Linked DNA regions of Callithrix jacchus. The protein of the gene in region 1 interacts with the protein of each later gene in a biochemical or structural test. Links are inferred from orthologs where the notes say so. Each region holds a gene or a part of one and is shown on either strand. Other genes may lie near its edges. The genes, in order: MAGI2, ADRB1, PTEN and CRHR1.

What was found.
Region 2: the proteins of MAGI2 (region 1) and ADRB1 interact in a test that uses a peptide from one of them, tested with the Homo sapiens proteins (4 studies listed by IntAct, with this or other methods). The link is inferred for Callithrix jacchus from reciprocal best matches to the Homo sapiens genes MAGI2 and ADRB1.
Region 3: the proteins of MAGI2 (region 1) and PTEN form a complex in vitro, tested with the Homo sapiens proteins (2 studies listed by BioGRID and IntAct, with this or other methods). The link is inferred for Callithrix jacchus from reciprocal best matches to the Homo sapiens genes MAGI2 and PTEN.
Region 4: the proteins of MAGI2 (region 1) and CRHR1 form a complex in vitro, tested with the Homo sapiens proteins (2 studies listed by BioGRID and IntAct, with this or other methods). The link is inferred for Callithrix jacchus from reciprocal best matches to the Homo sapiens genes MAGI2 and CRHR1.

What each region holds. Positions count from the first base shown.
Region 1 is NC_133512.1:72,037,479-72,044,888, reverse strand, and holds the end of MAGI2 (membrane-associated guanylate kinase, WW and PDZ domain-containing protein 2), read right to left. Parts: intron 4,953-7,410; coding exon 4,297-4,952; 3' UTR 2,027-4,296; downstream 1-2,026. UniProt on the Homo sapiens protein: Seems to act as a scaffold molecule at synaptic junctions by assembling neurotransmitter receptors and cell adhesion proteins. Plays a role in nerve growth factor (NGF)-induced recruitment of RAPGEF2 to late endosomes and neurite outgrowth.
Region 2 is NC_133513.1:106,980,960-106,988,907, reverse strand, and holds ADRB1 (beta-1 adrenergic receptor), read right to left. Parts: upstream 4,738-7,948; 5' UTR 4,469-4,737; coding exon 3,041-4,468; 3' UTR 1,748-3,040; downstream 1-1,747. UniProt on the Homo sapiens protein: Beta-adrenergic receptors mediate the catecholamine-induced activation of adenylate cyclase through the action of G proteins. This receptor binds epinephrine and norepinephrine with approximately equal affinity.
Region 3 is NC_133513.1:80,557,683-80,565,092, reverse strand, and holds part of PTEN (phosphatidylinositol 3,4,5-trisphosphate 3-phosphatase and dual-specificity protein phosphatase PTEN), read right to left. Parts: intron 4,652-7,410; coding exon 4,466-4,651; 3' UTR 1-4,465. UniProt on the Homo sapiens protein: Dual-specificity protein phosphatase, dephosphorylating tyrosine-, serine- and threonine-phosphorylated proteins.
Region 4 is NC_133506.1:86,533,534-86,541,387, reverse strand, and holds the start of CRHR1 (corticotropin-releasing factor receptor 1), read right to left. Parts: upstream 5,134-7,854; 5' UTR 4,841-5,133; coding exon 4,808-4,840; intron 1-4,807.

The DNA.
Region 1 (7,410 bases):
TTCAGGTAAGGCTCTGGTTTGTGGTTGCCAGGGTACTCCCAGGGGTGGTGGCACAGACTTAAGCTTTTATGAAGTCCCAGGTCACTGAGTTGCCTGGGTGATCTGCTACCAAATGCCCAGCAAGGGTTTGGTTTAATTCTAGGGTGTTGCTCCATTGTTTATACTCATATGTTTACAACCACAGCTGTTATTACCACCAATAATCATAATCTCTACACATATAACTGGGGCCCTGCACGCCCTGGCATGATGTAGAACTTACTAAACACAGGACTCTTAGTATTTTAAGACTTGGAAAGTATTCTTGTGATTTTATAGGCATCCTGACTGGCACTATGGTTGCCTGAAACGGAAATGTCTGTTAAATCCAAATTCTTTCAGCAAAGCGGTCATTTGACTTTTACCATGAGTTTGGCCTGAAAAATAGCAGTATCAAGGGGGAAAGGGGCAAATTCAACTTTGAGGAGCCCCAAGGTTACAGTTTTTGGGGAAACACATTAAAAAGAGAATATAAACTTTCAAATAAGATTCAGGGCCCAAGCAAGCGTCAGTTTCTGTAGCTTTACAGCAAATCCATGTCTACTGGAGATACACAATTGGGTTTCTGGTGGCATGTCTCATGCTTGGAATACACATTTGAGGCTATTCCTGGCATGTATGTATCCCAATAGCTACAGGCTTTACTATCTCTGGGGGCTGTGCCTCCCCTGCTTGGAAGGTGATCCAGACCTTGATGAAAACAGTGGGTTCTCCCGCTGAATGCTTGCCTGTGGTTCTAAATTGGTGGGCTGTGGGCCAGATGTGGCTGCATCTGGTTTGTTGTGGTACTGTTTTTTTTTCTTGTGCAGCCTTTCTTACAAATGTGAATTAAACTTGTCAAACTTTAAAAACCAAAACATTTCAAATAAAGACCTGATTTTTCTTTCCTTAAGAAACTGGAATACTGTTCCATACTGGACTTGACAAACCAGCAGCTTCAGGGAGGGTACACTCACCCTTTGGACAGTCCCCACCTGACTCCTTCCTGTGTTCAGATTTTCCTGTCTGTACCTTGGAGATGTGAATTCATGATAAGGCCCTGTCCAAGCCAGCAGGGGCCTTGCTGGCCTCCCCCTAGTTTCTGCCCTGTTTCTGTCCTAGTCCTTTGATCTCTGACTTTCTGTGTTTTTAGTATCTTAGTAATTTGTATTTATTTTTTAAAAAATAAGTTGTGCAGTATGAATATTTATACTCCATTTAAATTAGTTTTTATAGAGGTCTTTTTCAGCTTGTACTGGCCCATTCTCAGATGACTTCATAAAGAATGACATGTACAAATTTCTTAATTTTTGTGTTCCATTTTACATGTCACCTCCTTTATAAAAACGATGCACAATATTAAAAAATTTTGTATTGGAATAAAAGATTGACAGTTTGGGAACTTTAGGCCCCCTACTGACAGGTGGAGAGGGGAGTCTTGATTAGTGTTGAAGTGTTCCTTCCGATTGTCAGGTCCTTGATGGCAGGGTTGTAATCACCCAAGGGTCAAACAGAACTTTCTCTTCCTACCACAGGCATTGTAATTCATGATAAAGCTATAGTCGACCGTTCATTTTGGATCTGTTCACTGCTGCTCACTATGCTGGCTTCTGCATGAACTCATGGGGATTTTGCATGAAGAACAATTCAGAATTAAAAGGAAAAAATGTGATGGAATTTATTACAGATTGATACTTTAGATCCCTTTTGAAAAAAGGTAAAGTATCAATCAATGTAGCAAGCAACAGAACTATATTGCCAATTCATAAGTTATGTAGTAACCTGACAAGTAAATACCAACTAGACTGAGAAGACTGTTTACTTAGGCCAAAAAAGCCAAGAATCTTTCCCATGTAATGCCACTGCATTTAGATTCAAGTTTCAAAAGAGTCCTATTTGGGGCCTTAAACTTAAAAAAGAAAACTGAAGTTTTGAAAAACTAGGTTAACCCCCAGTAATAATCTATTTTAAATTAACACACAGCCTATATAGTTGGAAAAAGAAAAGATTTTTGGATATATATTTTATTTGACAGTGTTTTAGAATATCATACAGTAAACAAGATTTCTGTAAAAGTTAATTTATCCATAGTGGTGCGTTTCATAAAAATAGTTGCTCACTTACAGTCTTTCTGTAACTATTAATACATGAAATTATATTTATAGAGATACAGCTGTACAGGGTAAATTCACAGCTAACACTACACAGAAATATTATTTGGAATGGGATTTAGATGATGTGCTGTCTTCACAGGTTATGGATTACAGCCGCATAAAGCAATTACTGCACAAGTAGTAGCTGTGAACTGTGCAAATTAGAGTTTATGCCAGTGTAATCTCAATTTTTTTTTTCCTTTTGTAACACATGGAAAATAAAGGTCAGAGGATACAGTACCAGGACGTGCAGCTACACTACAGAAGCGTTGTCCAAAACCAGATTCAATAAATTAATGGCAAACTATACTGGATTTCTAGTCCAGGGGAGAAAGACTAACTGAGATTAAACCAAAAGCATTATAAACTGCTACAAGTGTTTGTGCTTTTGTTTATGATGAATGGGTTTCATTTTTGGACATTGCTTTTACAAGCTGCAAGACCCTTCACTTGAGGCTTTTAACCTTATTCTCCTCGTGTCAAACAACTAAACTACTCTGATGACTACTCCGATGTCTGATGATTAAACTGCTACTCAGGATACTGCAATTACAAGGAGGGGGAATGATCAGCCCAGGAAGGCTATATTACGTGTGACCTTTGAGAAGGACCTGATCGCCTCTTTTACTCATTAGACTACAAGTGTAGGGAGGTGAAGCTTATTTGCATTTGAACTCCTGTAAAGAGTAAGAATATGGGAAGGATGAAGCCTCATTCATTTAGGGCATATTTTTAAAAAATTGCCTTCAGAAACACTTTGCCTTTTAATATGTGTAGCTACAGTAAGTACCAATGGATAATTAATTGAAGCTAACACTTCACAAAGAAATGCTAAAACAGTAGGGAAGGCAAGCCTTAGAATTTTACTAGGAGGCCAATCACAGATTCATGGAGATAAACAAATGTCTAGAGGTTGCTAACAAAATAAAAAATTGACAAAGGATACAAGACAAAAGCAAACTAATGGAAACAAAAGGAGAAAGAGTAAGGAAAGAAAGATAAGCAGAAAGGAATGCTAAATGGACTCACGTTCTTTAATGAAAATAAATTGGTTATAATTTTTTAACATTAGAGATTCATTATAATCTGAGAAATATAAGACAAATACTCTGCCTCCCTCTGTCAAAGTGCAAATGAAGTCATGGAGAGAGGGTTTAAAATAAGACAATAAAATAAGTGAAATATCACATTGCTGACAAAGAAGCTATCCATCTCTGCTAGCCTGGGACGACAGAACAGCCTCTTCATAAAGGAACTGCAGCGTTGCCAATCTTGATTAAACAAATTGTGGTCCTTCAATTATAAAATTTATAGTTTAGAGAAAAACCAATTAAGACCTATGAGCTAAACTGCAAAATTCTGATGTACGGCAAACCGTTCCCTAGGATACAATTTTAAACCTTTTTTTCCTACCACTGAAAATGTACAGAAATATGATTTGATTACAGAAATGGCAATAAAAATGGCATCACACCAATAAACTCACTAGATTTCTAAGTTATCCCGCAGGAGGCAGGGAATACTGCTGCTAACACCGAGGATGGATGCCAAGGATGAGCCATGGAAACATGTCATGGGTGAACAGTTCCGAATGCGTCAAAGAAACCCTTTAACCCCTGTCTAGATATGTCGAGAACAATTTATTTACAACGCTTTAGATCAGTTAAAAGATATAATCTTGTCTCAGTTTCAGCTTGCTCCGTGCAGTTTGATTTTTAAGGCGATATTCCAGTTTGTGATTGCTCTTAACTTGTCCAGTTTCTTGATATAAAGTTTGGATGACATCCAAATCCTTCATGCAGTGGGGAGGAATATTTTTCTTTTTCTTAAAACTAAAGCTACACTGCACTGTCTCTCTGTGATGTTCTTCACGTTATTTTGGTTCTTCCATAGCTGCCAAAGCCCCCACAATGGAACCGGGGGCTTTAGGATCAGTTTAAGTCTGTGCGTGGACGCGCTGCCGCCCATGCACACTGGCCACGTGGGACTTCACGTCGATGCTCCCAGGCCTTGGTGCCTCGTGGATCTATGCGTGTGACAGTGAAAATAAATTAAAACGCTGTGAGACAGAACCCAAGAAGAACGGCCCGTGCCGAGGCTGGGGGGCGGGCCGTGGCCGTGCGGTTCATCTGCTGGCGGCCGAGGCGCCGGGTTTGAGGACGCCCGGCAGCTTGTCGGAGCCTGGCACCTTCCAGGGCCCCGGCGCGACGGCGGCCTTGCGCGCGGGGGCGCCCCCCGGGGGTCGCGGGCCAGGCCGGGGGCCCGCACGCGCACCTGCCCTGCCCTCGGCCTCCCGCGCGCCGCCGCCGCCGCCACCACTTGTGGCGGCGAACGCGGGCGCAGCCCCGGGGCCTTCGCGCTTGCAGAGCTCGGAGCCCGCCACCGCGCGGGGCGCCTCCTTCCCACCCGCCCGTGCCACGTCCGCTGCTGCGGGCCCGGGCGCCCTGGCCTCCGAGGAGGGCCTGCCGGCCTCAGGCCGCCCCTGGCCGCCGGGCGCCTCCTCGAGCCTCGGCCGTGCGGCCCTCTGCGGACTCGCCGAGCGCTCCCTCTGCTCCCCGAGGCGCTGCTTCTTCTGGCCGCAGGCTGAAAGCTCCTTTGGTTTTCTAACGTCGTGTTCCCGTTTGATATCCCAAGTTGGGCCTGGGCTTATCTGGTGGGAAGGGTCGGAGGATGGGGCTGGATGTGATGGAGAGAATGGAGCGAGGCCGTCGTCCAGGGAGACGCCTACTTCCGGCAGACCTGGGGCGGCGGCAGCGGGAGAACTCCAGGGGGCGGATTCGTCTGTGGACGTGAAGCACAGGCATTAGCAGTGGCGCCCGCAGGCCGTCCCCGCGCCCTCTCTATGCCGGGGACAGGGGCAGGCAGCCGGGGCGACTGCTCTCAGCGGCCGGAGCCACCGCCACTCCCACCCTCACTGCCAAGAGGGCAGTGGCCGCGCCCCCGGGGATTTGGGGGTTCCCTCCGCCCCACTTATCCCCCACGACCCGAACCCCGTCCGTGGACTGGGAAGGCCAACGCGAAGCCCAGGCCTAATAGCTTCGCTTTGGGCTGGTAACTTCCCGGGGTGCCCTCGGGTCTGACAGTCTTGTGTGGACAGCTCACTTGACAGCTCTTGAATCAATAGGTCTCTAGCTCGAGCAGACCTTGGAATCACCAGGGTGGTGGTGAAAAATACAGATTCCCTGGGAGGACCAGGCCCGGAGATGTGAGCCGCACGGGGCCCAGGAAGGTCTCTATTTTTATCAGGCACCTGGGTGATTCTGAAAAAGGTGGTCTAGCAGAGATGTCCAATCTTTTGGCTTCCTTGGGCCACATTAGAATCGTCTTGGGCTACAAATAAAATACACTAACAATAGCCAATGAGCTTAAAAAAAAAGGACCATGTATAAATCTCGTTTTAAAAAAGTTCACACATTTGTATTGGGCCACATTCAAAGCTGGCCGCGGGTTGGACAAGCTTGGTCTCGAGCCAAGCTTTGAGAAACACAGGTCTGGGTTCTAAGTTGGGGAGTGACGTTCTCAACCAGTAGGTGTCACTCAAAGCATAGTCCTAGCTGCTGTCAGTTTCAGAATTTGGATACATTCAGTTTAAAAGATCATTGTTTTTAAAAAGTCGTCCTTTTTTTTTCCTTTTTAACCACAATTAGAAGAAAAAAATCGTTGTCCTTAATTTTTTTTTCTTTGCCAAGTCTGGATGAAACTTAATTCTTTTTAGTACTTCTAACATTATGGAGGGCCCCAAGACTAAGATAATTCTAGGAAGCCTAGTTCCAACATTTACTTAAGATTTAAGTTATCTACTTCCAAAAAGGATTTAAGACAATTGACAACATCAAAACACGTATAAAACAATGATAAAAATGAGAGATGACTTATTTTTTAAAAAAGCAACAGCTGATCAGAAGCCAAGTAGAAGGACAGATGTATTAGGAATCTGAGATGAGTTAACTGTTACTGTGAGCAACAACTAAGGGGAAATGAAAGTAGGGAAATCCAATTACTGTGATTCCTTGATATTTGTAAGAAATATGTCTCATGACCTTGAAAATGCTCAAATTTTGTGATATCATTCCAGAGTGTAATTTTTCTTCTGTAGAATTGGCATAGGGTCATGAGTGGAGAGCAAAGAAATCACATTGATAGATGTGAATTCTGAGTGCCAGGTAAGCCTCCCTCACTAGCTAAGAGATTCAGTCCCACACGGCAGCCTCAGTGCATGTGATTCAAGCTCCTGCCTCTGTAACATGTCAGAGGCTGTCAGGGATGCTTTCATATACTCAGTCCATTAATGTCCAGGGTCTACTTTGTTTGAAACTTGAGGGTTCTTATATAGTACCTTTGATACTGATTTGTAAAGCAATAAGAAGAGGAAAAGAGCAGTGGCGTTGGTTTTCCCAGTAATTCTTGCCATCTTTAGAATGGCAAATCAAAAAAGTTTATCATTGTATGTGAAATTTGAATGGAACATTTTGGGCATAATGTTAACCTTCCTTCTTCCATACACTGATGTCCATTATCATTTTCACATAGTGAGTGAAATCCTAGAAGAGCATCAGAAGCCCTGAAATATAATCCTGGCTCTGGCATGTATTTCCTGGTGATTTGATTTTTGGACAAACAACTAAATCTGAGCCTCAATTTCTTCCTTGTTGAGGTGGGAATAAAATATCCTATTTTACAGATGTGGGACATAGACCTTATAAGGGAAAGCACTTTGCAAGGGGAGGGTCAGTCACATTTTTTCTTTTGCACCCCACCTGCTGCCTACTTAAAGACTGAGCTCCTGTGAAAGCCACCTCACTAACTAGTACCTGTGCAGGTGAGGTTTTGAGTAAGTGCAATAAGGCAGTCATTTCCATGTGCTGTGATTCCCAGGTGTGGTTTTGCTACACCTCAGGTATCCTTGGTTACCTCAAGGAATAGTCTGAAATCCTTAAAGGCAAATGTATCCAGTGGAAATGAGAATGTTTTGTACTTTTGGCTGGGTTAGAGTTTAAAATCAAACTAGCAAATGATAGGTGGTGGCAATCCACCCATCTAGGGAGATACAGTCTAGAAGAGTTAAAAAGTGATCTTCAAAAGGCCAAAAGAGAGGGTAGCCTGTGCAAGAGTGATCTCTGACTTCTACCATGGTAATGATATTTCACATTTTAATAGCTCTTTTCCCCATTATTACATCACATATGGTAGAATTAATTAGCTGGCCTCAAATTACTTCTTAGATACAAGGAGAAGGTTG
Region 2 (7,948 bases), on another chromosome or scaffold:
AGATTAAGCAGGACTGGCAGTCTTCTCCTCCCACTGCCATCGCTACTGGGACTGGCAGCCTATCTCCCCACATTTTCCATTATAAATCAATGGCTGCCTTCTTCAAAATCGACGAAAAGTAGTCTTCACGGATATTTGGAATCACTGACAGGGTCCGTTTCTGAATCCACGTAATACTCAGTTGGAGAGCATGGGGGATGACAAAAAAATCTATCCTATTTCCTGCCAATACATAGAAACCAGTCCCAAGATTATAGGGGCTTCCTCTCACTCACTAAAGTGATTGAGCCTGGGTACTAAGTGGTTAAATTATATACATTTGTTCTTAAAGCTTAAAGGACTTTTGTCATTTAATACCTGAAATTTGATGGGCCCGTATATATGTTTTGGGCTGAGAAGATTTCTTTTCATTTAAATGTGAAGACTTATCTAGACAAAATAAGTAAATAATCAGGAAATCAAGAAAGTGAAGCATTTAACTGCTACTTCAGTGTCTAGTAATTTCAGACAAAAAAGGACAAAACCCCTAAGAAAATGCATCTTACACACTCATGGTGGGGAGTGGATAGAAATTAACCATATTTGGTTCCTAGGGAAATTATAGTGACATTCATCCCGAGACTGATTATACATGCTCCAAAATATATTTCTTTAAATATTTATTTTTATATTCTTAAAGAAGCTCATCCTTTCTTTCTTTCTTCTCTCTCTCTCTCTCTCTTTCTTGCTGGAAAGGGGTTAAACTTCATAGCAGCTTTTGTTGAGGCTGCTCCTGTTTGTGCAACCTTCTGCTGGTCTCTAAAACATCTACGTCATTAACCTTTCTCAGAAGATGGTTGCCTTGTCTTTAGAATATGCCATTGCAAAAAACAATGTTCAGTCTCGACATTTCCCTATTAGAGAATACTCTCTCGTGTTAAAGTGTAGCATAAGCCAGACATGAATACTCTTTACTTTGATTTCTTTACTGTATGGTCATGATATAAAAAGCCTATTTAAAAATAGAGTATTTTAATGTATTTTGGATAATGTAAAATCACTATCAGGACAGAATTTCACCATACTTTCCTTTAGGAACTAACTTTATGAAAAAGACCCCATCCTTTGGGTGCTTTAATTTTCTTAGAAACTTAAATCCTTTCACATTTGCTTTTACCTGTGATCTGTCCACCCAGAACTTCTGGCAAAATGATCTACTTGACTACGCTAGAGGAAAAACATTTACTTCAGAAGCCCTTTTATATATTTTTGCTTAACCATGAAAGCATTTTTCATTCTAAACAGCCTCTGGAGAAATCTGCACACACTGATCATCTGCAGGCTGTGATTTTCTATTGGAAAACAAAAATAAGCTGTGGAAGCCACTTACTGCATTCCAAGTAGGCAACTGATCATTCAATGAGTCTTTCCTGCATTTCCATGAAAGTTGCAGCTGAGTTAAATGGCCACATCACTGGTTTTTAAATTTATTTTTAGAATATAAGCAATCCCAAATGTCACTTCTTAAGTCAAGTGCAGCAGATGGGATCTTGAAAGTGCCTACACATTTAATCTGGCTGTGAAAATTTAGGGCAAATCTGGAGCTCTCAGTAGGTAAACACCTTATTTGGTCTGGAGGCATTTTGCTATGTTATTGAATCATGAAAACCTATTAAAAGAGCTCTATAGAAATCCAGTCTGTATTCTGAACAAAACAAGCTGTCTTTTTCATTATTGCTGACCCCGTACAGACACACGATACATAATCTCAATTGTGCTTCATTGGTATTTATTGCACATGGACCAATTCCTCACACAGTAGTTAGTTGCACCAGAGTATAAATACTTGGTAAAACACACAAGAGGAAATAGAATTTACACACAAGTGCTAACTTTCACCAGCAAATTCACGTGGGCACTTGGACATAAAAAAAATAAAAAATCCTTAAGATAATTATATTTATAATATGGATACAGTTACAGTACCATGATAAAGGAGTATAAAAAGGTATTTTCCCAATAAATCATTAGCTCTATAACATACTAGACAACAGAAGTAGAGCTTGAATTTTATTTTAGTTTTTAAGATCTGCCCACCACTTCCCCAGTTAAAAAATATTTAACTTCTTTTTGTGCAAGTAATGTTTTCTGTGGAATTTGTAATTCCTAACACTGTGCAAAAATGGCATTTTGAACCACTCCTTTTTTTGTTTTTGTTTTTATCCACATGTGCAGTAATCAAAACTGTCTCTCTCTCTCTTTTCATGTCCTGTCTTAAATTGACAAGAGTCACATGTCACAGAGAGAGGCTCTGCGCCTGGTCCTTCCAACTAGTATTGATACATAAATAAGCTGTTTAATATAAACAAGTCTTTCTATCTGCTGTGCAAATGCACAGTGTGAGGTAGAAATCCCGTAGCCTGACCATCCAGGCGCGCGGGGGATCAGAGGGTTTGCCCTACACAAGGAAAGCAAATTGGGGCTTGTTCCAAGAAGAGCTTAACATTTCTTGAAACGTGATTTTTTTTTTTTTTTTGCATCCATCCTTTTCGCTTTCATAACAGCGGAAACCATTACTTAGGAATTAAAATGAAATTTCTCTGGAAAGCAAAAGGAAATAAATATGCCTTGATAAACTGTCATTCTCCTCTCTCTGGCTGGTAGACTGCCCCTGTTCCTGGGACAGGGTCGGGAGCCAGGTTGATCGGATTTTAATCCCCTCCTAATGCTTCTTCTCCCTTCCCCTGCCCACCCAGCTTCCACTCCCATCCTCGTGGAGTCAAAAACCACCTGGGGGGAAAAATCTAAAGATGCATCACAGGCACACACAAAAGAAGGCCGGACCACAAACAGAAGAAGAAGGAAAACAACCCAAGGAACATCAGCAAGCCACTCTCCCACCCCTCCCCAAACTTTCCTTTTTGTGCAACGGTCCGTGGCTTTTCTGTTTGCCTTGGATGATTCAGACGAGGTTTGTGGGCTTCGAGTTCACCTGCTTTCGGTCTTGAGTAAACACAGATCTCCGAGATCCCCCGGGAAGCCGTTCCGGGGCGCCGGGCCCCTACACCTTGGATTCCGAGGCGAAGCCGGGGCGGCACGGCTCGTCCAGGCTCGAGTCGCTGTCCGCCGCCGCCCCGCCGTTGCAGCCGGCCCAGGGCTCCAGCAGGCGCGCGGGCGGCGTGGCCCCGACGACATCGTCGTCGTCGTCGTCCGACGCGGCCCCGGGCGACGGCGGAGGACCGGGCCGGGCCAGGCAGCCCGAGGCGCGCGGCCGGTCCCCGTGGGCCGCGTGGCGCCGGCTGGCGGCCCTGCGCGCGCAGCGGAGCAGGCGCTGGAAGGCCTTGCGGAAGTCCGGGCTGCGGCAGTATATGATGGGGTTGAAGGCCGAGTTGGCGTAGCCCAGCCAGTTGAAGAAGACGAAGAGGCGATCAGGCACCAGCTCGCGGTGGAAGGCCTTCACCACGTTGGCCAGGAAGAAGGGCAGCCAGCAGAGCGTGAACACTCCCATGATGATGCCCAGCGTCTTGAGCGCCTTCTGCTCGCGCAGGGCCACGAGGCGCGAGGGCCGCCGCTTGCCCGCGCGCCCGTTGGCCAGGGGGGCGGCGGCGGCGGCGGCGTTGGGGCGCGGGGGTCCTGGCGCTGACGGCGGCGCGGGCGCGGGGGCGGGTGAGGGCGGCCGCTCCGGGCCGCCGAGGAACCGGCGCTCGCAGCTGTCGATCTTCTTCACCTGCTTCTGGGCCTCGCGGAACACCCGCAGGTACACGAAGGCCATGATGCATAGGGGCACGTAGAAGGAGACCACGGACGAGGCGATGGCGTAGGCCCGGTTGGTGACGAAGTCGCAGCACTTGGGGTCGTTGTAGCAGCGGCGCGCCTCGTCGCTCTCCGCCCGCCACCAGTGCATGAGGATGGGCAAGAAGGACACCAGCGCCGAGATGGCCCACACGGTGCACACGAGGCCCCTTGCCCGCGCGCGCGTCAGCAGGCTCTGGTAGCGGAAGGGCGACGTGATGGCGAGGTAGCGGTCCAGGGCGATGACACACAGGGTCTCGATGCTGGCCGTCACGCACAGCACGTCTACCGAGGTCCACAGCTCGCAGAAGAAGGAGCCGTACTCCCAGCCGCCCCACACCACGATGGTGGCCCCGAACGGCACCACCAGCAGCCCCATGACCAGGTCGGCGCTGGCCAAGGACATGATGAAGAGGTTGGTGAGCGTCTGCAGCCGCGGCGTCTTGGCGATGGCCACAATCACCAGCACGTTGCCCGCCACGATGAGCAGCACGATAAGCGCCATCAGCAGGCCCATACCCGCCGTCCACTGCTGCGACAGCGGCTCGAGGCCTTCGCTGGCGGGAGGCAGCAGCGAGGCGGGCGGCGACGCGGGCACCAGCAACCGCGCCGCAGTGGCCGCGCCGTCGGGGAGCGGCGCAGCCGACGACAGGTTGGCGGGATCGGAGGCGCCCAGGACGAGCGCCCCCGCGCCCATGCCGAGCTGCGGAGGCCGGGGGCGGTGGGTGTGGCGGGGCTGGGCAGTGGCTAGGGAACACCCCAGGAGCCCGGGCGGCGGGGTGCGCCGAGGGAGGTCGCGGCCGGGTCAGGACAGCCACGGCGCGGGGCCGGAGGCATGGGCGCCGGGCGCCTTTCCCGCCGGATCCGAGCGCTGTCGCTGTCGCCGCCGCCGCCGCCGCCGCTGCCGCTGCTGGAAGAGCCGCCGGGACCTCAGCATGTTTCTGAGCGCGCCGGGCCCGCAGCTCCGGCACCCAGCACCCACCCCACCCCGCTCCCACCTCCCCAAGCCAACCCCCGGGGCCTCGCGTCAGGTTCCTGTAGCCAATCGGGGCAAAGGCACGCCCCCGTCGGGTCTGCCCCCCCCAACTCCCCGCACCCCACTCCAGTTGGCAATTGAGCCGCTCCTGAGAGTCCGGAGCTGATCGCGGAGCTAGTGCCTCCCGTGCGGCCCGCGGGTTCCTGCGGACGCGCCCCTTCCTGCGCCCGCTGGTTCCAGGTCCCTGTTCCGCGCACCCCCTCCCGCGCCCGGCTCCCCCGAGGGGCCCCGCCCCCTCCCGCGGCCCCCAAGTGCTCCCGCAGCCGCTGCTGCGCCCCGTTTGCCTCCCGCGCCAGGCTCCCTCCTGCGCCCCTGCTTCCCCAGCATCCCCTCGACCTGCAGTCCTGGGGGTTCCCTGCGGCAGAGAGCGCTCGCTCCTTGGAGCGAGGAGGGGACCTTGGTGTTCTGGAAGCGCCAGAGCGCCTGGGACTGCTTGCCCGCCGGGCATGAAGGAGTTTGCCCTGCGAGCTTGGTTGTGGCATGGGGCAGCCTAGCAGGGTGTGTGTAAAACCCTTCCCCCGTCAAGAGGCGACCCAGCCAGCCTGTGTCGTGACAGCTTGGGGGATCAGAGGTGGGTGTTAGTGGTTAGAGGAAACTTCCCAGCAGAGCGGGTTGCTGGAGCCAAGGGCGCATCTGTTCAGAATGCTCTCTGGGCGCTGTTCTTGCAGGGATCTTCTGTTGAACCTCAAGTGCAGTGGAAGTGGAAAGGATGCGAAGGTTTGTGCATCTAACAGCTAACGCTGAGGACCCGCTGGCATCGTATTCACTCCTCAGTCCCAGCTAATGAATGTGTGAGCAAGATGCAACGGTGTGTGCTCATGATAAAGGGAGAGGCTTAGGGAGACAGAAACGTTGAGATACAGAGCAAACGGTACGACTGCGAGGGGAAAAAAAACATGCTTAATTACATTTTAGACTTGTCAGTGATAACACCTGTATTTTGTGTTTTATTACTCTTGTGATTTTGTAATTTGAGCTAGGTCAGTACCAACACAAAGGTACTGTCAGTTTCGGCTGACGTCATGAACTACCATTTCAGATTCCTTGGTCTGCTGCTTGTTTTCTCCTTTTCCCAAGTTCCCAGATTCTCAAAACTCTGGGATTAGTTTTGGAGGGATGAGACAAGAACACATATAAATACTCCAGAGGATTAAAATCCGAAAGCATTTAAAGTTGTATCTGTGTTTTTTTGAGTTGGCAAATGAATCGCTTTGAAATGAGTGAGTTGTTAACCTGGCGAAATGGATTATATTGGGGTGGGGGCACAGCCATGAATATTCAGTGCGGCAGGACTGCAAGCCCCTTCTCTCATTTGGCCCCTGTAGTGTCCTCAGTTCAGGCTCGAAAAACAAAATATCTTTAATTGGGTCCTTGAGAAGTAAACAGCTTCTAATTGTTTATGTAAGGGTGCATGAAAATGTTATATAATTCTCACAGGTCCTTCTGGCATTGGAGTAAGAACAGTGCCTGCAATGAACATCAGCATCTTTGCTGATGTTGGTCGTCAGTATGATCAAGCTCATATTCTTACCTTGCAAGGAGAGACTGATTTCCACAGCTGTCCAGGTCAAAAGCAAAAAGGAATGTTTTTAAAGTTTATATAAAGCCAAGCAGTTTTAACCACTTTCTTTTACAGAAATGCAAACATATGAATTTGCTTTAGGCCCAAGACTGATGGTTAGAGTGTTACAACTGGGGAGTAATTTGCTTATTCACTCCCTGCCCAGGATTTATCAGCTGATTTGCCAACTTGGGGGGGTTGAGGAGGGGTGCCAGGAAACAAGAGGACTTAGAAAAAGGGGAAGAAGGAGACTACACCCCAAGTTTTCCATGTCACCGCAAGCCTGAGATTCCTGGCGTCTTTCTTTCATTCTTTCTCCTTCTCTTTCTTTTCTTTCTCTCTCTCTTTCTTTTCTTTCCCTCTTTTTCTTTCTCGCTCTCTTTCTCTCCTTCTTTCTCTCTCCCTCGCTCCTTCCTTTCTCTTTCTCCCTTCCTTCCTTCCTTTTGTCTTTGCTTTCCTTTCTTCTTTCTTTTCTTTCTTCCTTTCTTTCTTTCCTTCTTTTTCACTCTTGTTGCCCAGGCTGGAGTACAGTGGCACGATCTTGGCTCACTGCAACCTCTGCCTCCTGGGTTCAAGGGATTCTCCAGCCTTAACCTCTCAAGTAGCTGGGATTACAGGCATGTACCACCACACCTAGCTAATTTTGTATTTTTAATGGAGACAGGGTTTCACCATGGACTGGTCTCGAAAACCTTGGCCTCCCAAAATGCTGGGATTACAGTAGTGAGCAACTGTGCCCAGCCTTCTGGCTTCTTTCTGGGCCCCCAAGGGGCAGTCTCAAAATAGCCAAGGGATTGGAAGAAGTTGAAATTGATGCTGCTCAGGAAAGGAGCTCTGAGTGCTGGGCTGCAGGGTGAGGCACAGGGAATGTGGGGAAGAGGTTTTTCCTTGCCATCTTTCTGTCAAGTGGTGTTACCAGAATAGTGTACCAACCTTAAATGGCCTTGAAGGGTGGAAGGCATTGCTTTTCTGTGTGCGATAAGGCCAGAACTTGGTTGTAGAGGTTCAGGGCAGAAGCCAGATGCCAGTAACTTTGCTGTATCATCATTACGTATATAAACACACTGTGACATTTGAATTGTTGAAAACTCTCCTGAAACTTTTTCCCCTGCTCATTCAGAAATACATCAAGTTTCTCTGAATTTCTGTATAATAAATACATTAAATTATAAACACTGAAAACCAGAAGGCTATTCTAGCAGGAGTATCCATACAGGGATCTCAGGAATTCTTGGGAATTTCCTTCCATTTTCCTGACAGGAGAGTTTGGAATAGTTCATGTTCAATAGTGTTGGTTGTCTAATAAAAATAAAATATTCTCGGAACTCCTTTGATTCCTACATTTTATGGTTAGGGTGTGTGTGTGTGTGTGTGTGTGTGTGTGTGTGTAACATTTTTTAGCCTAACACTTTTTGTTCTTAGTAAGGATACAAGATCAAGAATAAAAACATATGAACTTATACAAGTACTGGATATTGTAAGTTGAACAAAACTCCCTCATTTCTTCATTATTCACTTGCAACTGTTAAAGCAAATTAGTTCTAAAAACCCGTATATTTGACAGTACTTTGGAAAATGAC
Region 3 (7,410 bases), on another chromosome or scaffold:
TCTGTTTTCCTAGTTTTCAGGTACTGTCCTTAGAACAGTTTGGACTGAATATTCTTGTTTCCATTCACAAACATTTCTCTCTGCACTGGCAACAGCACTGCTGAATCAACAGCTATACTCAAGCCATTTAAGACTAAGCTTTAGATGTATTATCTGGCAAAAACAGCTTTAGATCTAATTATCTGGCAAAAATAAAAGAACCAAGAGTTTCATATTAGCAGCAAAATAACTAGATTTAAGGGTCTTGATTTTTTTCATAAGCCTTTGGAAGCCTGCATATTAAACACTGGTGAGTTTTAAATTCTCAATGGAAATGGTGATGGCATTTACTGAACCAAGCCAGCTCATACTACAACTTACTGAGAACATGATATAAAAACAAAACTAGCGTATTTCTATTTTTCAAACATCACCAAAATATCTTCTTATAATTTTAGACTCCAGTAGTTTTCAACCATTTGTATACCTAAGATATGTAAAAATGTGTGTACACTACACTTGATATTTTATATTATTGCACATTTTTCATTTACTTTTTTAAAAAATCACATGGAAAAAATGTAAACTTGAAATAGTTAAATCCCACTGTAATATTAATAGTCTATTTTTTAAACACTTGTACAAACTACACTTTCACTTATTACCTTACTATGCTTTGTTGAAAAGATATGCTTTAGTCTTCAAGTTTTTAAGAATATTAGAAACGTGGTTAAATTCAAGTACAAAAAGTCCTTTAGACTATTCTAAAATATCAATTTTTATATGGCACAAGTCATGATGAGTTGATGAAGTTTTCCATATGCTGATGGCAGAGTATAGAACTATAAAGAAAAGCCACACAATTGAAATCTAAAGTAGCAAATCCATTGTGGGGAATTATCTTTAAACATCTGGCTTAATAAAACAAAAATATGCACAATTTTCCAAGAATCTTGAACTTTTTCAGGACTAGAATGCTATTTAATGTGCTTATACAATTTATGAAGTGATGACCAAAGCCCTAAAATAAATCCTTTTCCTAAACATGAGTAGACAGATACTCTACTCCTAAGCTAACAAAGGCCATGCTTTTTTAATAGTAGGCTTTGAAGGACAGCAGCAAAGAAAACTGAAAACTTCTTATTCACATTTGGCTGCCCATTAATTAAAACTTCAATGGATTTAAGCAATTTGAATTATAAACTCTCATTTAATAAAACACCCACACAATGACAAGAATGAGACTTTAATCAGTTTTAAGTGGAGTTTATAACACTAAGAGATAAAGGGTTGTTAACAAACACAATAACAAATGGACATCTGATTGGTATGAGGCATTATCCTGTACACATCATATTGGTATTTTTGTGTATCCTCAGTGCATAGCATTTACACACAGAGCCACTGCTGCACAGCACAAGAGTATCTGAAGAGGCTGAATCAGAGTAAGGCTGTTTAACAGACTGAAATTTTTTAGTATATATATTCTATACGAAAACAGGTTGAACTTTTGAACTGGCAGGTAGAAGGCAACTCTGCCAAACACTACAGTTAAAGCCCCCACTTTAGTGCACAGTTCCACCCCTTCCATCTGCATGCATGACACATTAACAGTATTTAAAGGTAAACGAGGCACTTTGTGGCAACCACAGCCATCGTTATGAACATATTGCACAAAATTTCTAGAACTAAACATTTAACTTGTACCCTACTTTTATTTTTTAAAGCTGAAACATTTGATGCTGCCGGTAAACTCCACTTAAGTTTATAACCTGTGCCACAGCAAAGAATGGTGATGCTATTTATTCAACTATCCTTTCAAAAGTATGGGAAACATGTTCAAGAGGAGCTACAAAGGACTTGGGATGGTACAGGGCCCAATTGTAAGCTTTCTTAAAAGTGATGCCTTCAAGTAACTTCAGACATGTAAGCTGCTGCACATCCAAAAAGTCTAAGAAAACATTCCAGAAACTCAGAGATTACCTACAGAATGCATTTCAGGCTAATTATGAATACTGTCATAAATAAAGTTTTAATTAGGACTCGAAAACCTTTCAGTCATAGCAATTCTTGTCAAATTCTATGGGGATGGTAACTGAAATAAAGTAAGGAGAGTATGTATAATATATATTTATATATATAATATATATAATGCCATTTTTCCATTTCCAATGACTACACCATAAAATGTAAGCAAGGCTTCTCAAAAACATTGAAACATTCAAAATCAAAACCCTCATTCAGACCTTCACATTCCAAAGGAAAAATAATAACAGTGCAAAAGCCCATTATAATGTCATTATTTATGACCTGGCCCTCCATGTTACATATTGGAACAATAAAAGTTATGTTTTAATATGCAGTGCCCAAAATTGTAACAAAAAGTAGTATTAATAACTATCTTCAAAACATCGATTTTCATTTTAGGTAACAATTTTCAGTTTTTATGAAAAACAAGGTGGCATATAAATTTTAATGGTGAAGTGTTAGGAATAGTTGTCTCTAACTTTACCAATTTAACTTATGAGCAATCAATCAATATATATCAATGTTTAAATATAAATGTGTAAATCCTAAGAGCTTTGTTAAAAATTTAAAAATTTTTGCATGAAACTGACGAGGTATGGAAAACATGTCAACATTATTTACTAAGAATATTTTAGATGAAGTTCTGCCTAATCTATTTGCCATCAAACTCTATAAATGTTTCTCTAGTAGGTCCTATTCAATCTGTATCTGTAAATTAACTAGGTCAGACCACAGCTAGTGAACAATTTCAGCACCAATAAGTTATTGAAAATGAAATTTTATACCATTAAGAAATATAATGGCTGGATATTCAAATGTCAAGGTGAAGGTATAATTTGAAGACACCAAATTTCTGGAAAAAAAAATCCTTTTTAATAGTATCTTCACATTAGCTTTACAATAGTAGTTGTACTCCACTTAAAATCGTATGCAGTCTGGGCATATCAAATATATGATATTTTTTAAGAAGTGAAATTGAAGCCCTAGTCCCAACTTGGGGTAGCACTATGAAGAAATGATTCAACACTGCACATTAAAAAAACCCCTATTCTTTCAATAGCAAACCAGTAAAGCACATGTAGGACAATTTCTACTGAAAAATCAAATGTCTTTTTTTTGTGCAGTGCTGAAAGTTTACTGCAACTCTGATTTCTTAACACAAATGTCCTTTTTAACATAAACATTATATGTATTCAGTATTCAAGTAAAATTCCCTAACAGTTAATGACATTTAAAAAATGTGCAAAACTGCAAAACTCATCGTAATAGAATGTGTAAGGTCAAAAGGGTGGAACGGCTGACAGCTATTGGATTGAATAAGTGCATCATAAATCTTCAAAGAAAAAAAAACACTTACTGTAGAATCTCAAATTGAAAATTTCTGTGCAGCATTACAAAATATTTTATATTTAATGAGAAAAAAGAAGCTTGCAGGCAGCACATGAAGCATCCACAGCAGGTATATGATTGGAAACTATTAAGTGTAAGTTGTTGACTGATGTGGGTACTAATAGCATCTGACTTTTAGCACTGGCCTTGATTACACAGGAGATGGAGCAGTCATTACAACTGAGAAAACATATTTAATAAATCATTGTCAATTTTTATGTTTCAAGCCCATTCTTTGTTGATAGCCTCCACATTTATATGGTTAAGTCATTGTTGCTGTGTTTCTTATGACATTTTTATATACCTTCATTTGTGGATCTTAAGATGTTGCAGAAGGTTCATTCCTGTACCCCAATACAGATTCACTTCCTTTAGCTGCCTTTTCTAGCACCAATAGGCTTTTAAAAAAATGCGCAAACAACAAGCAGTGACAGCGGCCAATTCCTCGAATGTCCAGATTAATAACTGTAGCATGCTAAAGAAAGGTGTGTGTAAATAGCTGGAGATGGTGTATGGTCCAGAGTCCAGCATAAAATGTATTTCCTTTCTGAGCATTCCCTCTAATCCCCTAACCTGAATACATGCATTAGAATGTAGCAAAACCCTTTGGAAACTTCTCTTAGCCAACTGCAAACTTATCTGTTGCCACAAGTGCAAAGGGGTAGGATGTGAACCAGTATATCACAAAGCTCTTTAGCCACTTCAGTTGGTGACAGAACACAAAAGGAAAAAATTCCTACGTATACACATCAGTCTGTCTCCACTTTTTATAAAACTGGAATAAAATGGGAAAGTGCCATTTTTATTAATTCTAATTGAATTTTAAATGTCCTTTTGACACAAAAAGGTATATACATGACACAGCTACACGACCTTTTTTCAACTGGACAACAAGTTGTCAAAACCCTGTGGATGTATAGGGTAAAACAAGATTGGTCAGGAAGAGAATTGTTCCTATAACTGGTAATCTGACACAATGTCCTATTGCCATTAAAAAAAAAAAGGTCCATTTTCAGTTTATTCAAGTTTGTTTTCATGGTGTTTTATCCCTCTTGATAAAAAAAAAAATTCAGACTTTTGTAATTTGTGTATGCTGATCTTCATCAAAAGGTTCATTCTCTGGATCAGAGTCAGTGGTGTCAGAATATCTATAATGATCAGGTTCATTGTCACTAACATCTGGTGTTACAGAAGTTGAACTGCTAGCCTCTGGATTTGACGGCTCCTCTACTGTTTTTGTGAAGTACAGCTTCACCTAGAGAAAGAAAATTTAAAATGAAAATCCACAAATATGACTCATCTTAAATTATTTAGTGAAAGGCATTTTTAACAGATTAACTTTTTTATTCCATTTTGCAGATAAACACACTAATTTTTAAGCACGTAACAAACATGATTTTTAAGAGGCCTTTTAAATGACCCTCTTCTTATTAAGATATTCAACATTTTCTTTCTTGCTAGGTACCAAAATTAACATACTAATAGACTATCAGGATGTTAATATTATTTATTTATTTGTTTTTATTTCTGGAGACAAAGTCTTGCTCTGTTGCCCAGGCTGGAGTGTAGTGGCATGATCTTGGCTCACTGCAACCTCTGCCTCCTGGCTTCAAGCAATTCTCGTGCCTCAGCCTCCTGAACAGCTGGGACTACAGGTGTGCACCACCAAACCCAGCTAATTTTTTGTATTTTAGTAGAGATGGGGTTTCACCATATTGCCCATACCGGCCTCAACCTCCTGAGCTCAGGCAATCTACCTGCCTCAACCACCAAAGTGCTACGATTACAGGTATGAGCCACCATGCCTGGCCTCAATTTATTTTTTAAAGAATATAAGCTGCAAACATTAACTAAATAATTCTACAAAATAAATGAAGATTGAAAGCTATCAATAGTTTACATAATATAGCCTTTCAATTATAAAATTCAATTCACAAATGGCTAAGTTCAAAAAGAATGTTTCTCTTACTAGTTACCTAAAAATCAATTCCTTCCTTCCCTCTCTTCTTTTTTCTTTTCCTTCCTTCCTTTCCTTTTCTTTTTTTTTCTTTTCCTCTTTCTTTTTCTTTTTGTTTTTTTTGAGACAGGGTCTTGCTCTGTCACCCAGGCTAGAATGCAGTGGCACCTTCACAGCTCACTGCAGCCTCGAACTCCCAGGCTCAAGTGACCCCCCACCTCAGCCTTCCAAGTACCTGGGACTATGGGTACATGCCACCACCCCCAGCTAGTTTACTTTTTATATATTTTTTTGGAGAGACAGGGTTTCACCATGTTACCCAGGCTGGTCTCAAACTCCTTAGTTCAGGTGATTTGCCTACCTTGGCCTCCCAAAGTGTTGGGATTTTAGGCGTGAGCCACTGTGCCCGACTTCAATGTATTTTTTGATATAAACACTACACACACACAAACTACTGATCAACACTGATATTTAGAATTTATGAGCCCTAAAAACTTCACCTAAAGGAAGGAAGGAGAGGGACAGTAACCTCATAACGTGGTCTAAACAGAGAGCCAAGGGCCTTTACATGCATAGTGAAAATAACTGTCAAAATAACCCTATATGTTAGGTATTTCCGTTTTCAAGGAGAGGTAGCTAAGGCCCAGAAAGGTTAGGGAACTTGTTAAAGGCCACATATCTATAAATAGTAGGTAGTAGATTTGAGATGTAAATCAGATCTGACTTCAAATCCCTTCTTCATTGTATTATATTGACAGCCCCTCCCTATTATCCAAGAGTCATTATCAATTATTCTTCTCTTACAACCAACATCCACTCCATCAGTAAACCCTTTTAGTTAATCTGACAGCTTCTTGTTACCTTTCACTGCCACTATTCTAAGCAGTGAAGGGCAACAAGAAGAAAACATCATCTCTCACCTTTACTAAACTATTCAAGTGCCTCAACTATCTCTCAGCTTTAATTATTACCCCTTCTCCCTACTTTCCTCACTTATCTATATTTTGAAAGCATAAACACAGGGAGTATTAAATGCAAAATTCAGATTATATCCTTCCTATGCTGAACACACACAAGTATCTTTACACATGGACTGGTTTTCTTGTCTACTCTGTTTTAGTCAAAATGACTTATCCACTCTTCAAATACACCAAGCTCCTTGCCTAAAGGCTTTTGCATCTCTACTCTTCCCTCTTTTCCCAGATATTTGCATAACTCACTCATATGATTTAGGCTCTGCTTAAATATTATGTGCTTGGTTGGGCCTTCTCTAATCATCCTAGCTAAAAAACAAAAAACACACAAACCAAGATTATTCTCTCTATTTTTATAGCACTTACCACAATATGACATTGTATTTGTTTACTAATAACAGAGCTTTTATTTGTAATCACAAATATAAAAATCTTGCAATATTAAAACAGAAAACAATAAAACTAGAAGGAAAAGATAGTTTAAAGGTTAATGGTTAAGCAAAATGCAGATTTAGAGAAAACAAAGGAAACCTGTAGATTTTAAAGAAAATGTCTTTCCTGGAGGAAATGATGTTAAGTAAAATCAGTCAGGTACAGAAAGATCAATACTGCATGTTCTCACTCACATATGGGAGCTCAAAAAGTTGAGCTCATAGGAGTGTGGTTATTAGAGGCTTGGAAGGGAGGGAGAGGGGAGGATAGGAAGATGTTGGTTAAAAGATTAAAAATTACAGATAGGAGGAATAAATTATAGTGTTCTACAGAACTGTAACGAGTCAACAATAATTTATTGTCTATTTTCAAATAGCTAGAAGATAGAATTTTGAATGTTCCCAACACAAAAAAATAACAAATGTTTGAGGTAATCCATATGCTAATTACCCTGATTTGATCATCACACACTGCATACATGAAAATATCACTCTGTATCCCATAAATATGTATAATTATTATATATTAAAATTTTTTTAAAAAGGGAAACTTCTCAACACTTAAATTTAAGAGCTAAAGGCATTTAATATTAGATCTATTTTCACTTAAAACATGTAGGGGCCCCTTTACTGATTTTTAAGTATTACTATT
Region 4 (7,854 bases), on another chromosome or scaffold:
TACCCTTCCTCTACCCCCATCCCCTCACCACTCCTCCTTTTGATGGCGTTTCTTGGACTGAGGAAGTTGGTAAGATTTATTAAGTGACTGCTATAGCTAATATTTATTATGCAGTTACTGTGTGCCAGACACTGTGCAACTGTGCATAATTTCATACTTGGCATCTCAAGGTCATTATGATTATCCCATAAAGCAGGTATTATTTCCCCTGATTTAGACAGATGAAGAAACTGAGGTTCAGAGTGATAACTTGGCCACAGCTTCAGGGCAGATTCAGGATTCAAGCCCACATTTGCTTCATTTGCTGTTCCTACCCATACAAGATGTTGACTGCCACATTAGGCGCGGTGAGGGATGGCTGTCTGAGAGCAACAAGTCCAAAGACAAGCATTTCAAAAGGATGCAGGCCGGGCCCGGTGGCTCACACCTGTAACCCAACACTTTGGGAGACTGAGGTGGGAGGATCACTTGAGCCCAGAAGTTCGAGACCAGCCTGGGCAATATGGCAAGACCCTGTGTCTACAAAAAAATTAAAAATTAGCTAGGTGTAGTTGGTGCATGCCTGTAGTCCCAGATACTCAGGAGGCTGAGGTGGGAGGATCACTTGAGCCCAGGAGGTTAAGGCTGCAGTGAGCTGTGTTCACACCACTGCACTCCAGCCTGGGGAACAGAGGGAGACCCTGTCTAAAAAAAAATTTTCCTAGGGACTCTGCTGACAGGGACCTCTGAATTTAGGTAGACAGGAATCATTTGTAATTAACAAATCCATTCTTTGACTATTAAAACTGCAGCTGAAATCTCGACCTGGCTTTACCTTCAAAATGGGCTCACAGTTCTTTTGTTGATACTGTGAGTGATTAGGGTAGAATCAGAGCTGAGAGAGATCACCCCACTCCCTCTTTTAACTGAGGAAGAAACGGCCCAGATCACTGCTAGCGACCTGCTCTCCTCCAGACACAGCAAAAGCACTGGAGTTTCACGGGCTGAAGCCCCACCCCTAAGGGATTCTCCAGATCACTAGGGTGCTGCGTTGGCTGGCGGTTGTTTTCTCTTTTCTAGTAACCACAGTGGGCTTAAGGGGGAGTTCTAGTCCTTTCTGCATCAGAGATGGCTTTTCAGCTAGGGTGGTTTGAGCATCTCTCAGCCTTCTGTTTTGACATGACATCTGCATCCTGTGGGAACAGAAACAGGTTCTTTCCAGTTGTACAATACCTAACAGAAGAAGCAACAATAAAACCATCCATCCAGTCCACAAACATTTGTTAAACACCTACTATGTGCAACAATTGTGAGGCCCAGCGCCACAAAGGGTAAAAGATGAACAGTGCTCTCTGAGGAGCCAAATGTTAGAGAGGGTGAGAAATGGATTTTCCACTTGAGCTTGTCCTCACTGGCTCTGGGTGAGTATTCTACTTTTCCATTATCTACACACTCCTCTCTATGGCTGGTCATTTCCAATCAGATGGGCTTGGCCAGGCTTTTGGACCCCTCTCCGACTTTGCCCCCGGTCTGTGGGCAGGCCAGTAGTTCCCGAAGGCTGCAGGAGCCCACTGGCGCACGCTGGGCTCATCGTTTCACATTCCTCATGGCTCCTGCCAATGCTCCCCTCGAAAACCTGGCTCCATATCATTTAATCAAAGAAACAACTTGGAAATGGCCCAGATATGCACCCATATAGGGACGGCAAAGTCCATTCACTTGCAGGCAACATGCAGACATATTCTCCCAAGGAGGCTCCGGATAACGTGAAACAGACTTGGGCTGTGACACTGGGGAGTGGGCTGCCCGGCAGCCACAGCTGTGCCCAGACAGGTGCTTGAGAAGGGGACCTGTGGGGGTATTTTTTAAATGAATTACACAACAGCTGGATTCAGAGAGTGAGGTTGCAATCATTTTTCCATTCTGGTTTTCAAACTTTGCCTATAGCTGCTAAGTTGCTTACATAAGAATAACAATAATAATAAAACCAGCTCCCTCCTGGGAGATCACTCTCCTGTTAGAACCCATGGAGAGGCCTTGCCTTCTGCACCCCTCACAGACACTGGGACCCATGTTTAGAGTCACACTCCACCTCCCTGTGAGGAGCTGCAGTGAGTGCGTGGGTGACTCCCAGGTGCTCAGGCCCCTGCCCCTTCCTGGGGATAGAGACAATGTCTTGCCTGTCTTCTGACTCATGGCCACTTGCACACACATCGTCCCTCCCCACTCATACATACACGGTCACACACCCTGTTTCTCCCCATTTACACGCATTTCCCCCCAGGACTCTGTAACCGGTACAGTGCGAGGCCCACAATATAGGCCCCAGAGTGGACCCTTCCCAACATTGGCTGACTTGCTGGGGACAGCGCTGGATTTGGGATGAACACTAAGTCCCTAGATTTATACTCTCATGCTGGCAAAACTACCTGGGCTCTCATCTGGCTAAGATCTAGGGTGAGGTTTAAGGGGCTTAACATATTTTCTGGTAATGGCTGGGCACAGTGGCTCGCGTCTGTAATCCTAGAATTTTGGGAGTCCGAGGTTGGCTGATCGCTTGAGCCCAGGAGTTTGGAGACCAGCCTGGGCAATATGGTGAAACCCCACTTCTATAAAAAATACAAAAATTAGCTGGGTGTGGTGGTGCATGCCTATGGTTCCAGCTATTCTGGAGGTTGAGGTGGGAGGATTACTGGAGCCCAGGGAGGTTGAGGCTTCAGTGAGCTGAGATCACACCACTGCACTCCAACCTGGGTGACAGAGTGAGACCCTATCCCAAAAAAAAGAAAAAAAAAAAGATATTTTCTGGTAAAAGCAAACAAAACAAAGCCTTATATCAGAGTGCCCAGGTTTGAATTCTGACTTCACTATTCACTGGCTCTGTGACCCTGAACCAGTTACTTAGCCTCTCTGTGTCTCAGGAATAATTCCTACTTTCTAGGGCTGTTAGGAGGACTCAATGACTTAATATTTGCAAAGCAGGTAGAATAATGCCCAGTGAATTGTACATGCTACATAAGTAAAAGAAAAAAGCAACTATTTAATAGAAACCAGCTTTGAAACCAGCATTCGCTGGCCATTCCCTGGCTCAGCCTCATTCATTTGGTATTTACTGAGTGCTGACTGAGTTTATTAGGCCAGTCATAAAGAGCACACACCCCACTATCTGGTAGGAATAACAGAAATAAAAAGACTCCCCTTTTTTTTTTTTTAAAGAAAAACATGATCATTCTAAACAGAGATTTGCACACAACTCTAAAGAAGGCCAGAAAAAGAACATTGATCTATTTCAGTGTAAACTGGAAAAAAAAAAAAAACAAAAACACCCACATTTCAATCCTTTGAATCCGTTCAAAAGACTGAATTTGGTCTAACTGGTTTGTGCATTTAGACCAGGCTTCGATACACACAAGACTTTTGGAAAATATTCCCATTCAGTGCCACCTATTCGACCTCTCTGGATGTTTTTCTTCACCTTCCTCATCCGTCTGTCTCCTTGAACGCCCAGAAAATAATCTCTGAGTTCATCTCTAGCCCTCAGGTAACAGACAGGGGAGGGGATGTGGGTTCAATGAGACCAACCCTCAGTCATTTCAAGAATCAACTTATAAATATCTGGGGAGGGGCAGGATTAGAGAAAAATCTCAGTAACTTGTAACGTCTCATTAAAAAATCTTGGTGCTTTAACTCAAACCACTTGGTAAGCCGCTATACGTACAGTTGGTTTAATAACTGATGGAAAAATGAAATTCCGCCAATCCGCACCCCTCCCCCAAATCCACCAAAGTCTCTTTAATGTAATCGCTTTGAATGCCCCGAACCGGGTCAGGCTGGCGTCTACGTCTGTGGCTGAAGCGGACCCTGAGGGATCCCGAGCCCCGGGCGAGGCCGTGCCCAGGCGGGTGCGGCACGGGGTTTCCCGGCAGCCGCGCAGAGGCCCACCCGCCCCTCCGGCCGGCTGCAGCGGGCGCGCCTACACCTTGCAAGACCAGAACGCTGTGGAAAGCGCTCGGGGCTGCAAGTGACGCCTGGCACTAGGGGCGGGCCGGACTGCCGGCCTCCCGGCCCTTCCCGGGCGCACACGGCCCTTGGGCCGCCCCCGCCGCCCACGAAGTTCAGCGGGCAGACGCTGGACGTAAGGTCTGGCGACTTTCCTAAACTCCAGCGACCGATCCGCGTCGCAGGGTAGGCTGCGCAGCGCGGGGATCTCGGTGCCCAGGCTCGGAGAGCGAGTGTTGCGCTCCCGGGCCGCGGCGAGGGAATGGTAACCGCCGCCGGAGGCACGGTCCCCTCCCCCGAGACTGCGATATTGATCAAGGGTTCGCAGGCGCGGGCCGCATTAATCTCCCTGGACTCGCAGCTTGCAGCCGAGGAGAAGGAGCAGGATGCGCTCCCGGGACTGGGGCGGGGGCGGGCGGAGTCGGGGAGCTATGAGAAGGTGCTGGGGCGAGGCGGGGAACCCCGCTTCAGAGCCTCCCGTCCTGGGGCCGGGGTCTGCAGGGAGGGCGTGGGAGGCGGAACCCAGCGTCTGCCCCAAAGCCTAGAGCGATTCTTGGCGCGGAAACGGCTACCCGAGTGGGCAGACCCCTCCTCCGCCAACATCCCGGCGGCTCAGCCACGATTTCTTTTCTCACCTGAGTCTCCCCCTGCCCACCAAACCCTGGCTCCAAAGGTCCAGAGAGTTAGGCTGCCCCAGAGCCCAGCCTTCCCCGACCTGACTGCCGCTCTCCTGGCGCCCCCTCCTCCATCGCACCCACAGCCCGGCCTGTCCCGCGTCTGCCCGGGGCTGGGGGCGCTCGCGCTGGAGGGCGGGCCGGCGGGCTCTTACCTTGACAAGCCGGAGCTGCGGGTGCCGTCCCATCCTCCGGCTCGCTCGGTTACTGTCCTGAACGCCCGGGTCCCCCAGGCATCCCAGAGGGGCCGGCGGGCTGCTGCGGGCTCGGGCAGCACGCGGTGGGCGGCCGGACTCCTCGGTGGCTGCCCCGTGAGGAGGCGCCCGGTTCCGCGCTCCCCGTCCCCGCAGCCCGGCCCGGCCGGCTCTCGCTCGCCCCTTCCCGGGGAAGTCTGGCCGCCGTTTCCCGACTCAGCCCGGCGGGAGGCCGCTTCTTGCCAGCCTAGCCCCTGCCGCCTCCCGCAAGGTCCGCGCGGCTCCTCGCCTTGGCTCCCCGCCCCCTCGCCCAGCTTGTCCCCTCCCTCCCCTTTCCCCTCCCCCTCCCCCCCGCCTCTCCCTCTCCCTCTCCCTCTCCCTCTCCCTCTCCCTCTCCCTCTCCCTCTCCCTCTCCCTCTCCCCTCCCCTCCTCTCTCCTCCCCTTCGGTCCCTCCTCCGCGCCTCGCCCCTCGGCTCCCTCCCTGCCCCTCGCCCCTCGGCTCCTTCCCCGCTCCCTCCTCTTCCCCTGGCCCGCCGCCTGCGCCCCGCCGCCAGGATCCCCTTTCCCTACGCCCGGGTTTGCGGCAGTCCTCCGGGCGTGCTTGCGGCGGTGGCGGCCGCCGCAGCCCGGGGAGAAGCCCGGGATGGGCGAGGGGGTGGCAGGAGAGGATGCAGCCTCCTACCTCCCGCCGGGCAGAGGTCCGGGCCTGGGAAGTCCAGGGGAGCCGGGGGCACTTGGGCGGGGGTGCTCAGGTGAATTTATGAGGGCGAGGCTATTGGTGGCGGTGGAACAGGGCGGTCCCCACTGAGCGAAGCCGCCGCAGAACCCGGGGAAGCTGCGACCTGCGTTTGGGCAGTTCCCGCCCTGCAGCTGGCTAGCGGGAGCTCCTCGCCGCCCCCACTCCAGCCGCGCCGGGCTCCGAGCCCGACTCCCAGCACCTTTGGCATTGACGTGCCTAGTGCGCGCTGAGACGCGAACGTTCTGCAGGATGAGCCCTTATTCATTAGTTCGTTCCTTCGTTCATTCGTTCATCTTACAATCTGAGTGCCTGCCCACTTTGGTTCAGGCAAGGGGCTGGATCTGGGAACCTTTTGGACCCGGGAGCCCCAAGATGAAAGGGAGACGGCGGTGCCCTGCAGGACAAGTGGGCACTGAACGCAGCCCTGGGTAAAGCCAGGTGCGGATTGCGTTGCAGCGCGGCGAACCCGGCTAGGAGCCTGCGGGCTGGGGGTGGGGAGGCCACAGCGCCCCCTCCCGGCCGAGTCTTCAGGGCAGCGTTGGGGCTCCCGCCAGACCCCGTGGTCGTCTTCTGGATTGGCTCACGAGCTCCCCATCCCAGGAAGTAACTCCCAGCCCTTCCGGATGAACAGAACTTTTGACGTCCTCTTCCCTCTTCCTCTCTCCTATCAGAGCTGATAAGGGAGAAGAGGAGTCACTGGGAGGTAGAGAAATCTTCACCCGCAGAGCCTAGGCTGCCTGGCCTATGCAATCCTTATAGGGTACACCAAAGCACCTGAGGCGCGGGCAATCGGCTTTGAAATCAAACTGAACCCACCTGCCCTGCATCCTGTGCACTGCTATGCCCACCCTACTACTCCCTCCCACCCACTTCTCAGCACAGTGGGCAAGAGCCAGCATGTTCATGGGTCCACTGGCCTTCATTTGGGGCTGGAGTCATTTTAGGAGGTCATATGATCCAACATAGAATTTACTGGTGAGAAAATGGAGGCACACAGAGGGTGGTGACCTGTCCAAAGTCCTACAGCTGGTAAGCCTAGTGCTCCCTCTCCTGATTGCCAGCTCACAGCACCTGGAGGGCTGGGCCCTAAAGGGGCCTGGGGCTCTGAAGTGGGGAGGGTCATTGCCCAGGAAGCCAGCTGCTCACATGGCTTAGCCACACACCTGGCACTTTCTAGGTGAAGCACACAGTCCCAAGTCTTGCAAAACCCGCATGGTTGTGCCGAGCTGGGCACTGACTCACCCCAGCCAACCCCAGATGGGATGGACGTGCTAAGCAGGTGGCCAACTAACTGGCCTCAACAACAGTTAAGTGCAGGGCAGTCTGATGTCATGCAGGTTCTGGAGTCAGGCGGCCTGACTTTGAATCTTGGCTTTTCCACTAACAAGCTGTATAAAGTAAGAGAATTATTTAACAATGCCTCAATTTTCTCATCTATATAATCGGGATAGAAACGCTACTTCTGAGAATGGTTGGGGAGTTAGAAGGAGCTGATATTTGTAAAGAGCTTGGAACGGAGCCTGGCACACATTGCAAGAACTTGATGAGGGTTAGCTGTAGTCACCAATACGATCATCATCATCAACATCAACATAATCATCACGATGGAGTGGACTGGATGCTCAAGTGTGAGGGGCAGCTTGGTCCCTCCCTCTAGGCGATTCTTTGTGGGGAGCAGAAATCTTGATAAGAAAGTCACCAGCAGCAGTAGATTTGGGAATCAGAGGAGAAGAAGCCGGTTGGTCCTCTAGGAGCTTTGGCCAGGCCCAGTCAAGGCCCCGCTCCCTCCCTGGCCCCACCTTGGAGCACACTCTCTAGGGACTAGACAGTTCCAGCTTCTGTGTTTCTCTCTGCTTAATAAACACCATCAAATTTTGCCTCTCTGAGCCCCATTATCATCTCCTTGACATGATCTTTAAATATGCTAATGCCATCGATTGGACTGCAATCAAGCCTGGCTCTTCCTGACTTTTTTGCCCAGGAGTCAGACCTTCTCGCTTTTTGAAGTGGCGTCTACAGATAGCACATTTCATCCTGTTCGTGTTGATTTCACTGATTTACCTTCCACCCCACCACACCCCACCTCAGCGGCAGACTAGCAGGTAGGAGGAGGGAGGCATCTGCCTAATTCCTCGACCTACTTATTAATAGTTTTGGCCTTGGCAGCCTCAGGGGGGTTATAAAGTTTGGCACTTAACATTCCCTCTTTAAAAAGGTTCAATATCCCCTTTCATTTGTCCTGAAGCTACTTTCTTTCACCTTCAAGGG